Drosophila melanogaster: one gene and its partner. The gene in region 2 interacts genetically with the main gene of each other region. Each region holds a gene or a part of one and is shown on either strand. Other genes may lie near its edges. The genes, in order: Ced-12 and Eato.

What was found.
Region 1: of Eato (region 2) and Ced-12, changing one enhances a phenotype caused by changing the other (phenotypic enhancement), as found in Drosophila melanogaster (one study listed by BioGRID).

Annotation. Positions count from the first base shown.
Region 1 is NT_033779.5:12,096,267-12,101,393, reverse strand, and holds Ced-12 (Ced-12), read right to left. Parts: upstream 3,557-5,127; 5' UTR 3,444-3,556; coding exon 3,332-3,443; intron 3,039-3,331; coding exon 2,028-3,038; intron 1,968-2,027; coding exon 1,416-1,967; intron 1,353-1,415; coding exon 853-1,352; 3' UTR 555-852; downstream 1-554. Other genes in the region: patsas, read left to right, coding at 1-146; Mt2 (methyltransferase 2), read right to left, coding at 3,722-4,698, 4,748-4,808; CG6712 (uncharacterized protein), read left to right, coding at 4,974-5,127.
Region 2 is NT_033779.5:13,782,250-13,790,086, reverse strand, and holds the start of Eato (engulfment ABC transporter in the ovary), read right to left. Parts: upstream 6,004-7,837; 5' UTR 5,918-6,003; coding exon 5,735-5,917; intron 5,617-5,734; coding exon 5,493-5,616; intron 5,375-5,492; exon of another isoform or gene 5,302-5,374; coding exon 5,101-5,301; exon of another isoform or gene 5,037-5,100; coding exon 4,566-5,036; intron 4,508-4,565; coding exon 4,349-4,507; intron 4,291-4,348; coding exon 4,112-4,290; intron 3,878-4,111; coding exon of another isoform or gene 3,833-3,877; exon of another isoform or gene 3,808-3,832; coding exon 3,591-3,807; intron 3,529-3,590; coding exon 3,228-3,528; intron 3,165-3,227; coding exon 2,852-3,164; intron 2,788-2,851; coding exon 2,636-2,787; intron 2,575-2,635; coding exon 2,391-2,574; intron 2,289-2,390; coding exon 2,051-2,288; intron 1,991-2,050; coding exon 1,367-1,990; intron 1,300-1,366; coding exon 297-1,299; intron 231-296; coding exon 1-230. Other genes in the region: CG16890 (uncharacterized protein), read left to right, coding at 6,650-7,090, 7,142-7,477.

The DNA of each region.
Region 1 (5,127 bases), 1.7 Mb from region 2:
ACAAGCGTTATCCTTACTTGCGGGACAAACGCGGACGATATCAGAATCCCTTCTCGCGTGGTCCCATCCTGAATTTACTCGAATTCTTTGTCTGCCTGCCGGACCGGGGCGATGACAACGATCTCCTGCTGGAGGATAACATTTGATTAAGGATCTAGGATCGAGCCCCTGCTCGCCGGCGCAAGCTGCCCGTGCGTGGATAATGTTGCGAGGAGGCAGCCAGAGACCCACTCGGGTAGGCTGCCAGTTTGGTTTTGCTCCGCAGGCTTACTGCTTACTCGAATGCTTTAAAGTTCGAACCAAAGGTCGTCAAGTGCGTGTTTTATCATTTACAATTGCAATCAACATATCCTTGCGGAAGGACAAATCGATAGCAAATTCCAAGTGCAATTCAGAGCATCAATAAATTACATTGCTAAGATTCCATTATTGTTAACGGCTCCAAATCAATTCCTTCCGCAATGGTGTTCAAAGCATCGGCCAGCCGTGCTTTTTGCTTTTTTTAACTAACTAATTACCTTTTAGGCTTGGATAAGAATACGCTTCTCTTGTTAGTTTTTGTACAAAATTGTTATGTATAAAATGTGTTATTTAATGATCTCTATATATTATATACCTATTATAATCATAAATGGTGTAAAGTTCACTAAATGGCTAGGCAGCGGTTAGTCACTTGGACGTGACCGTCACCAGTTTGTTCATTTTGTGTTCGGGGAATTGCACAAGTAATACTAGTAGAAGATCAGATCGGAGAATACGATTATGTTGTGTGTACACTTTGGCATGTATCTTGGGTGATGGGGGAGTCTAGAATGAATCGAATAATTCGTGAAGTAATTGTGCTCGTTATGCTTAGCTCTCAAAGCAAAAATCATAGTTTTCGGGATCCTCCGGTATTGGCGGTGGGTCCTTGCTGATGTCCACACCTTCCGTGTCCAGCAGGCGCAATTTGATCTCCATCGACAGCAGAGTGTCGAAGTCCTCGTTCTTTTGCTTGCTGACCATCGGTTGACCCAGCAGCGCGTTTATTCCATCCGTCCAGTAGTTGAATATGCTTTCGTCGGGTGCCACAAAGTCCAACGTAGAGTGCTCCATGTTTTCGAAGGTGATGGAAAAGGCCAGGTTTACCGCCGATTTCCGAATGCGAGTTTCCTTCATATGCGGGCATTCCTTGCCCTCTAGCAATTGCTTAATCTCACTGATGGGCAGTTTCTTGGGCAACTCCTCCATGGTGGGTATTGTCTTCTCGTCGCAATCTCCGTAATGAATCACCTTGTGATTCGGCGAAAGACGAGCGTACCAGAACTTGTCCTTTGTTCGAGTGCCTCGCAAGTATTTTGCAAAATGTGTACCTATAAGTGCAAGATTTATCCATGTTAAGATTGCCCTTGAAATGTATTTATTAGAAATTGTACCTTCCACCAGAAAAGAGAGCCGTTGCTGCTTGATTAGCTCAAGAATTTGCGGTGATATCTTCTCTTTGAGCTTAACAATCGCCGAAGCTGTGGAATCACACTCCTCCTTCGAAGTGCGCTCCTGCTGGCGCAGTGTTGTGATCTGCTGATAGGTCAACAAAGCGATCTTGTTTCGGAAATCGTCCAGGTTCTCGGGTCTGCCCTTTAGAGTGCGCTGGATCTGCTCCCGCACCACGCTGAAGGTTGTGCTGAAGTCCTCGGCAGTGGCACGCATATCCTTCCATGTGCGATTCAGCGTAATGACGCATATGCAAAAGAATTCCTCGAACGGCGAATCGTGCGTAAAGAACATGGGCTGAAAGTCACCGGATTGCTCGGCTGGTGGCTCGCCGATGCGAAGGATGTCACATAGCACCTTGACCAATTCGATGGAGGTGCGTCCGAAGGGACACTCGTGCTCATCCGCACGGCAGGAGTTCTCCCTGACGATCTTCGCATACTGTTGCGTGTAGTTGCGTGCAAAATACACCATGCAATCCAACGCTAATATACCTGAGAAATACGTTTCGGATTATCAACCAAAATAGCTTTAATATAAGAACATATTCTTACCCGGCGGCGTCTCAATGAAATCCTGGGCAGGGTTAATATCGCACTTGAAGCCCAGCTTTTTGTAGTACTGCGAGAAGTTGACATTGCCAGCTCCGGAGCCACCGCCACGACGGATGTGATCGTCGTTTTGATTCAAAGCGTTGGTATTATCGTCGAAGGCAATGCGCCGCAGCTCCTTGATCTTCTCGTGCGCGTCCTGGTCCTGCGCGTTCATCTTCATACGCATGCGCTTCTCCAACAGGCCGAGAGTCAACGTTTGCAGCACGTACAGCTGGTGGGTCATCTCTGTGCCCAGTCCATTGCCGATAAGGGCCAGGCGGAACTGCTTGGCACTAATAGTTTGAGCAATGGTCCTGCGGCGGCCCTCGTCTGCTTTGACGAACAGAGCGTTCAGCAGGGCTATGGCATTTTGTCGCATCACCGGCGAATTGACATCCTGAAGCAATCGGAGAATATCCTGCAGCTTGATGTCCTCGGCAACAAGCACATGTTTATTGCTGCACATAACAATGTTCTCCAAGTTGGACAGGGCGCTCTCACCACAGTTCGTAGGATATTTCTGAAAGTTTCGCACGATCTCAATGTTGCGGGCCACGAATGAGTTTTCCGGCACCTCCCAGGACACCGTGCCGTGCTCCATCAGCTCCACAAAGCTGGCCAGGCTGTATTTCAGAATGTCTTCGTTGGTCTGGCCGCCATCCTCAATCATCTTAATGAGTGTGTCGAGACCCTTCTCCTTGATGAACTCCAGGGCAAATGTGTGATCGGTGCTTAGGGAAGTGAGCTCCTTTAGACGCAGCGCCTTCTCCTGTGGACTGCCATTGAGCAGCACCTCCATGGCATCGCAGGCAGTCTTGGATGGCGAATACTGCAGCTGCAGTACGGAGCCATTCTTGATCTCATTGCGATTCTTTTCGGTCACGTACTTTCGGTTAGTGGGCTCGTAGAACTGGAGTGCATAGTTCTGGTGATCGCTGATGGACCAACCATTGCAAATTTCCTGGATTTTACCTGCAAGCGAAGGCGGCATTAATACGCTGTAAATAGCAACTTCCTGACCAATTGTATGATTTGCATATAAATGAGAAAGAGGAAATGAGTGCGCTGACATCACGATAACACTTAAACATAGCGAAGGGCGTTGGTTGGAAGTTCCTCCCTTATGATGGGTTCCTTTGCTACTTTCAACATAATTCTGGTTTATTAACTTCTTGGAACTTTGTTTTACATGTTTAAAGCAGATTCTCTTTAAAACTGCTGCTCAGCAAGCGAAAAATCTTTGTTTTTATCCGCTATTTACTCACTTGCCAGCGGATGCCTTTGATCCAGATTTATCAACTGCGCTATATGGTCCTCTCGCTCCACGGCTATTTTCACAATGTGTGAATCCTTAACCGTCGTCTTTTTTGGTATCATTTTGGCACTCTTTCAATTAGCGATAATTGCAATTATTATTGTTTTTCTGCGTAAACTTATATTCTTTTTTTTTTTAATTCAGTGCAGTGTGACCAATTGACAAGTAGTATGGAATATCACACAGCACACAACCGTTGCGTTTTGTGGCATAGGCAACACTGGGCGGGAAAATTATGTGGATTTGAAATAAATATTTTAATGATAACAGCGCAGAGTAATTTCCTAGCTAATAAATGTATTAAAGTGAAAATAAGCAAGCAAATATGTTGTATTTTGTTTTATTTTATCGTCAGCAATTTAATAAGTTCACCGACAACCTTTACATTAATACTATTTCCCAGCAGTCGATACTTTTGTCGATTCGTTGTTTCTGGCGGAAATTCAAAATTCTCCGGAAAACTCATTAGACGAGCAACTTCCCGTGGCGTGAAATAGCGCAGTCTCACCTGGTGCAACAGGTCCAAGCGTTGCTGCAAAATCTTCTCCGACTTCGATGCATCCTGATTACTTGTGTCAATTTCCTTGACCAACTCGAAGATGCGGTGGGATTCGTCCTCCGAAAGCGGTGTGTATGCAGAGCCCGTGCCCTCGGTGTAATGGGTGTAGCCCTTTGTAAAGCACATGGATCTACTTTGAGCAGGATGTATTATGTCCATGACCAGCACTCTTTTGGTCAAGACATCGTCGGGCACCAGGAAATCGGGTGATACATTTTCCTCCACAATCTCGGCAATTTGTGAAAGACCCTGATTCTGGGCTATAGCACCCGGCATTTCTTCCCAGATCTTTCCACCGGCAAATGGAAAGTCTGCACCCTTGCGGGCGATGCAATAGTAGCGATATCGAGTATTTGGCACATTGAATTGCGTTGGCGTTAGAATAAACTCCCGCCAATGGAATCCCGACCGCTCCAGCGATTCAATAAACTGATTTCGCGCCTGTGAGCTCTCGAAACCCTTGACGTTTTCCATGAGTATGTACTCCAGTTCCTGGCACTCTGGGATCAGTCCACACAGATGAGTAAGTGCATCCGATCGCTTGTCTTCCGTGTCCCTTTGCAATCCCTGGCGAGTGTGGGGCTGACATGGCGGGGACATCAGCAGCATGTTGGCCTGAAGCTTTGTGACTTCCTTTACACTCAGGCTTTGAATATTCCTAGTTTTCACCAAATTACTGCCGTAATTGTGCGCATAAACCGCATTGGCCACGGTGTTGACATCCAAGGCGGCAACTATTTGTCCATCCAATTGGGCATCTTCAAAAGTATATATTAGTTTCGCATGTATCATGATCGACGAACTCACAATTAAAGGCATAATGCATGCCGCCAATGCCACTAAATAGTTCTAAGACCCGAAATACCATTTTAATTAAATATATTTTTGTTTACAAACTACACGTTGTGAGTGGCACGTTTTCCAACACTGCCCCACACAGCAGATTGTCTGCGTTTCCGTGTGATTGGTATAAGAAGAAGAATATCAACACGTGCCGCTCGCATTTTTGTGAATTCGTGATTCTCTCGGAATAATGATAAAAATTAAGCGAAAAACAGCCCCTCCGCCCGTGGAACAGGACTCGGACAGCGATTCCAGCTTTGACGAGGAGGAGCCACAGGATTTGGAAGTCCAGGAGGGGCCAGTCACTGATAGCAGCGATGAAGAAGCCGCCTCCAGCAGCAAAA
Region 2 (7,837 bases):
AGTAGGTGAGTGTGCCGGCATGGCTCTCGCGCAGTTCCAGACCAGGAAACTCTGACTTCAACGTGCCAGTGATCGTGGACACATTCATCTCCGTTTCGGTGTCCGCCTTCATTTTCAGTTTTATCGTGAAGCCGCTTAATCGCTTAAGGGCGCAAATATTGTTCAGACACTTGAACTTTCCGTGCGCCATGATGGCCAAGCGATTGCACAGCTCTTCGCACTCGTCCATGCTGTTTGTAGAGAATGTGTACACTTTTGAATCTGTTTGAAAAGGAAATATACTTTTTTGGGCTTACCTATGTGATGTGAGCACCACTGTTCGATCCTTTCCCTGGAAATCCTTGATGCATTGCCAAAGAAATCGTCTCGAGATGGGATCCACACCGGTGGTAGGTTCGTCCAGGAGCACCAGTGCGGGTGCACCAATCATGGCCATTGCCGCCAGAAGCTTGCGTTTCGTGCCGCCCGAATAGTGGCGCACTTGCACCTTTTGATATTTGGTCAAATGCATCTTCTCTAGCCAGTACTTCACGTGCTCCTTGCAGCTGGCTGGTCCATCGGTCCTTCGGCGGCTCAGGCCGCGCAGCAATGCCATGTAGTATAGGCACTGCTCGGCGGTCATGAATTTATTTAGTGCATCGTACTGAGGGCAGTAGCCAAAGTATTCCCGGTATTTCAACTCATGCTCGCGAATGTCTGCGCCTTTGATGCGGATAGTGCCACCATCTAGAGGCAAATTGGCCGCTATCATCTGAAAGGTACTTGTCTTACCCGCTCCGTTAACACCCAACAGACCAAAGCATTCACCCTGGGCAGCCGCAAAGCTGACTCCGTCCACAGCCAGCTTATCGCCGTATCGCTTGCGAAGATTGTGCACAATCAGTGAATGGTCGTTCAATGGGTCTTTTATCAGATCGGTAACCCGTTTTTCCTCCCTTGCACAATCATCAATTTCTGAGATCGGAGTACTGGGAAGGGTGCCTGTCGAATTGTATTTCTTTCTTTGGAATGCCCATTCCCAGATGCCATCATGAATTCGTCTGCGCAGATACTTGTGTTCCAGGACTATGGTAAAGAATGCCATGACCATAACACCCACGGCGGTGGCATAGGCAAAGAAGGTGTCCTGGCTGATAAGACCCTTTATAAGTGCCGGATGGCGTCGGGTTATAAAGTTTTCATTGATGATGCGAAACTGGTGATTAAGATTGAAGTCCGGTAGGAAGCAGAGGAAGGCGATCTTGGTCTCATGCAGTTTCATGGCCGCCGCATTGCTGGAGGTGATAAGTGGGGCAATGGCTAAAAGAAAATGGGTTTTATAGTTTTTCTAATTGTTGTCACTGGTTATAAAATCAAATAATATTACCGGACACAATCAGCATCAAAAGCAAATAAGTAGATATCGTGGATATCGACTTAAAGTTGTTTCCCAGGGCGTATAGAATGGGCAGGTAGCTGCAGCCGTAGAAAAATATGCTTAACACAATGACCTTAAGTTCAGCCGTTGTATACAGCTCCGAGGGCATCATCAAGGATTGCAGACTGAACAGGGCAACGCAGACGAAGATCAGGATCAGCATATCAAAAGTAAAATGCGCAAACCAATAAGTAAATCGCGACATGGTCTGCAGCTGTTTGAATCCATTGGCATATTCCCGAAACGGCAATGAGATGAAATAGAACATGAAGAAGAACATGCCGATCGGCACGATGACCGCATAGTATTCGAGGCGCGATGGACTTATGTCGCTAACAAATCGACGAATTGGCACGTAAGTCGTATCAATTTCAGACTCTGGACGCCCTAGCTTCAGCATTGCCGAGTCCACCAGGTTGATAAGCTCCACAGAGCTGTGGTAGCGATTGCCTGAGTAAAAAATCTCAATGGTGGGCGTATCGGAGGTGCCACGCCCACCTCCGTACATGTCAATAATGCCAATCACCTGCTCCAAGAAATCAGCCAAGTTGTCGCGTTGTAAGTCAAGGGATTCTAGAGAACACATGTATTGATAGAGCCATTAAAATGTTTAGCACAACGTCGCATACTCACCATTTTTCACATCATTACTCCCACGCAGGTGCATTGTTTTCGCTGTGATTCCATTCAGCTCGATCTGTTGACGCAGCTGCTGCTCCAAATGGGCGTGATGGCCCGTTGGATTGTGAACGTATATAACGCCACTGCCCATCTGGCTGAGCTTCAGCGGCAGAGCCTCTTCGTTCTCCACCAAGGACATGGCGTGCATCACCAGTATAGCCCCGAATACGCATACAAAGGGAATGCACAGCTAGCGAGAGGGGAGCACAAAAAGTTTTTAGTTCGTTTTAGTTTTAGTTGTTTTCGCCGTTTATACAACAGAGCAAAGTCCTACAAATTGCTAACAACTTACCATTATCAGAGTATATAACCATTCATTGGAAATAAAGGTCCACTTTTTGTAAAACACAGCCATCCAAAGTTGAAAAAGTCCGCGATGAGGGGGATGGTCTTGGAGTCTTTTGTAGTGTGCCAGTAGCGGCGCATCATTGCGCGAACCATCGGGGGTATCCACTTGATCCTGTTCGCCTGCGCATCTAAAACACCACATAAGATATTAAAGCAAAAACAATAAACAATGTATCTTCCAATCCCTACCTTAGGAAAACATCCTCCAGGGAAGTGTCGGTCATGGAAATTGTATGTATGCCCAGTTCCTTTGATTCAGTCTCCAGCCTATAAAGCATTTGTGCGAAACAATTTTTATAGGCATACGGCAGGCAGATATACACAGTAGGATTCACCACATTCTGTTCAACGTTTAAAGGATATTATGCACACGCCTTATATAAAGTTCATTTATTAATGACTTACCAAGACTCTGGCTGTTGGCACAAAGTGATGGATTATTTCCATGATTTCCACTTCTCTTGATGTAAAATCGTTGATCTCTAATTTGAGACGATAACCAATTCCCGATTTTCGTTTTAATTCCAAAGGACTCCCGATGCTCTGCAGTTTTCCATTGGCCAATATGCAGATGGTATCCCCAAGGACCTCGGCCTCCTCCATGTAGTGCGTGGTGACCAGAACGGCCTTCTCCTTGCGTAGATTAAGTAGGATGTCCCACAGCTCACGACGCGAGTTAATGTCCAATCCCGATGATGGTTCGTCAAGGATTACGATTCTGCGAGATTAAACAAAGATTTTTAAACCGAATATCTTTAAGCAATATATCTCTTAAGTTTACTTGGTGTTACCGGCAATGGCGATACCCAGTGATAAACGCCTCTTCATGCCTCCAGACAAATTCTTGCCGAATTCGTTTCGCTTATCGCTAAGTCCCAGCTTCTTAAGTTTCTCATCTGCCCAATCGCGTGCATCGGATCGGCAAGCTCCCCGCAGCTGGGCAAAGAACTCCAAGTGCTGGTGACATGTCATGTAGCTCATGAAAACGCTGTGCTGCGGACAGAATCCAATCAGGTGGCGATAGGAGGCCACATCGCGCTCACTGCACACAATTATCTTGCCCGAATCCTTTGGTACCAATCCTGAAAGAGAATCAACATGTGCATTGGATGGCCGAGGAAGCGAATTGAGTTTGAGTCCCTACCCATTATCATGTTCATCATGGTTGTTTTTCCAGCTCCATTGTGGCCCAGCAGGACAGTAATCTCCTTGTTGTTGATCGTCATGTTCAAGTTGTCCGAAATTAGCGTATCGCGCTTGCTTGTCTGGAACTTCTTGCACAACTCAGTGATTATGATAGCATGAGTGCCGCGCGGTGTCGTCGTGTATTCGTTGCGTTGTCGTTTCATGTAAGTCTTGGGCTATGGTTTAGAATAAAGAAAATTCTTAATTTAACCCTGTTTGGTTATGCAGCCGATAACCGATACGGAACTGTAAAAAGGACATTTTAACCGATTTCAATAAACAAGATTCGATCAAAGTAACCTATTGAAATAAAGAGTCTTACTGCATCTGATCTCATACTTGATTATAATGAACATAAAATTATAATACGAACTGAATTGAAGCTTATGTCGAGATAAGAAAATATATCACACGAGCGAAAATTTTGATCTGATACCGACATTAAATATCATTGGTTCGGACTTCGGAAATAGTACTTACATCTAGGAAAAAGAACATCGGTCGCTTTAGTCCACCAGGACCGGGAAAAACACAACCCAAATAGTTGTAGAGCATGGCATACAAAAAGGATTGAAAGACGAGAACCACGTAGACCGAAAACATCGTTGAGGAATTGCTTTTGATTACGCGAAATACATCCACAGCACCGAATTCGCGATCTTCAAAAAAAGCCAGTGTTCAAATTTAAATGTTAAGCTACTAAAAACCAATTTAAACTCTTACGCTTATTTGAAAATGTCTGAAAAATATCCAATCCCTCCAGAAAGGTATTCGTGCTAAAACACACAAATGCCAGCGATGTGGCCCAGCTTCGAACAAATGAGAATGCATAGGGAATTATTAGCATTGCCAGCCCTCCGATTTTCGCATAGAAAACTGTAAGTTATGTAGAAGATTAGTAAACTTTGCTGAATATATCAATGTAATTACTTACCTGAGTGGAAGCAAATAGAGATCAGATAAGCATACGACATGGTTGACAAAATGTAAAGCAGAAACAACACTGCCACGTAAGCAAAGCAGATGGAGCCCAGGGCCTTGTATAAATATGCAACGACCAGGACAAAGATCATAAGCAATGTGTAGCACACAAACCGAATGAGAAAGAAAGTGAGGCCGTTGAGGAAACTCATGGGCGTGACCAGGTTGAGAAACTCCTTCAGTCCGTTTTGCTTCTCCTCCACAAAGGGCACCACAAAGCTGCTTAGTAGGACCACATTGAATAGAATGCTGCACAGTGTTCCGAAATATGTCAATCGATGACTATCCATGCTGATGACCTCCATGTTGGGCATCGAGCTGACCACCACCTCAAAGTCTTTCCCGAGCTCCTGGTATTTCATATACTGTTTGTCCAATATGTGTTGCAAGGACAGGAATCCGGAACGAATATAATCATCATCATCTGATAAACAAAAACCAACATGCGGGTTCGTTAAACGGTAACAATGGAAAAATTGAACACGCACCTATCTGGTGATAAATTTCCTCGTCGTTCACAAATCGCTTTCTGGGCGAAATGCGCATCTGATTTGAGCTGAGGCTGTATCGGAACTTTCTGTCAGAGCCACGGTTCGGTACCCGGTGGAAGTCAATTGCGAAGCAGCTTCCACGGCACTGTTGCTCCATCTCCAGCTGCATCTCGAAGCTGTTGTTGTTGGGCCGAAGTCCTGCGCAATGAAATATTGTTAAATACAATCTAGAAGATAGTATCGCAAATATATGCAGTGAATTTTGTATGTTATTTTGTATGATCGTTATCAAAAGTACATATAAGCTTTATATGGTCGGAAACGTTTACGTTTACCATACAAACTTTTCCACATATCTAATTTATGAGATAATTTGGAAATGCACTTACGCTCTGGTATAATTCCCAGATCTACACGCAGGAGATCCATAATGTCCTCTACATTGGGAGAGATGGGTGAGTAGTAAATGTAATCCAGCTCATTACCGGGAAAGTACAATTCTCTAAGAACCATCTAATAAATAAATTGAAGTCCAATGATAAGGATTAGTGTGGTCACAGGTTTGTTATCACATGCATACGTATGTACAAATATAAAAAGCAGATAAAGTAGCAGTGCGAGGGAAACTTACTTCATTCTTTGCTTCAAACTGGTTAATTTGGTGAAGCACGGGCTTGACGGACCAGTGGAGGTACGCGGTGAGTACTCCGGCAAATCCGGAGCAGATAAGGAGCAGGGGCAGCAAGTTGCGTTGCAAGTAGAGCAAATTCTTCCGCAGAAAGACGAAGAACAGCGGGGTAAAAGTCCCAGCCATTTTCTGTTTAACATCAACTTTTCCCTAATTTTACTTTGCTTTGTTGAATGGCATTTTTTCTCTATCAACGTCGATAGTAATACTTATCGAAATGGGAACCGCACCCGCTCCTGAGACTTGAGTCACTGTGGGAATGAATTCAATAACATTGGACTTGTAGTAAAAAACGGAGGAACGCTACAAATAATTATTGTTTACTGATAAGTGTACAGTCTACTCGTAGCCAAAGCCAATGGGGGTCATAAAATAATTTTAAAAAGTGTGTAAACTTGGAATTTGTTTTTTATTTTCTTGTATATTTCACATTTTTAATTTGTTTTTTTGATTTATAAGTAAAATAAATATTGTTTAATTATATTTCATAAAAAGTTGCATTTAATTAAGCAAAGAACTCTTAATTTGTACCTTTAAAGTAAGAAATTTAACTTATTCCACAGTGTGTAAACAGTATATGTATTGGCTAAGATTAATACCATGCAGTTTCGCCATTACGGGCCATTCTTCTAAACTTGTTATAGCCATTTTATTTTGGTTAATAACAATAATATATATTAAAATTTATTTATTATATTCAGTTGGAATAATTTCAATTTGTGATTAAATTTTGCAGCTTCATTTTATTTATCGTTTAATATATAGCGTAAAAATAGCCAGAGTAGGACCACAGTCTTCGATATATCGATAGGCAGTGCCCTGAAATCGAAGTCTGTTTATTATAAATTTTTTATCATAATGAGCGGCTCGCAATTATTCCCAGTGAATCTGAACAACCTGAGTGCCAAGGAGCGACACAACTATATACTTAGTAATTACGTGCTTAACCTACCGAATGAGACGGAATCACGTCGGCACAAGCGAGACATCGATGTAATCCGAGAGAATCACCGCTTCCTGTGGGAGGACGACGAGTTGGATAGCGACACCCTAAGCTGGGAGCAGCGCTTGGCCCTGCGATACTACAGGAAGCTATTTAAGGAGTACTGCATCGCGGACCTGTCCCGCTACAAGGAGAACAAGATAGCGCTGCGCTGGCGAACGGAGCAGGAGGTGGTCACCGGAACCGGGCAGTTCCAGTGCGGCAGCCGGCATTGCGGGGAGCGGGATAATCTGCGCAGCTGGGAGGTAAACTTTAGGTATATCGAAAAGGGTGAGCCCCTAAATGCGCTGGTCAAGGTGGGTTCCAAATGGGTTTCCGCGATTGTGTCACTAATGGGAATTCCATAGGTGCGGCTGTGTCCCACCCACACGGATCAGCTGAACTACCGCACCAAGAAGAGAGAATGCAAGAAGCGGAGACGCAGGGAAAAGGAGGAACGGCGCGCTGAAAAGAAACGTAAGCGTCGAAAACTCGATGTTGGTCACGAAAGTTCTGGCGAAGAGGAGGAGGAGCCTGTCGAACCAGCATCCGAATCCCATCCAGAAGCCAGCAAGGAGCCCACAGACTCAAAGGATGCCACCACGGCAGACGAACAGATCTGGCAACAACAACCCGATATAAGCCGAGAGCAAGCCTCCAGAGAGCAGGAATTCGAGCGATATCTAGAGGATCTCATTTTTTAAAATACATAGCACATTTATTTGGATTCAACGTAGACACTAGTGCTCTTTTTTATAGTTACTGGCCGCTAGATGCGTTCGCTTACGAACTACGATGTACATGTACACTCACATTTACAGGATTATTCACAAGAACTGCGTGTTAAAACCGACACCAAATCTAAAGTTGAACTGGACATTAAGGCTGTGACTCTGATTGATTTTTGGAAACATTTCCGAATGGCTACATTTCAGGCATGCACCTAGTTCAATCGCTATTTCTATATCCATCGAATGCAAATCGAAGGTTCGAAAATACAATACTATTTCACCTTACGTTTGTGGTCAAAACAAATTGTTGAAATCCAGCCACTGAAGAGTTTC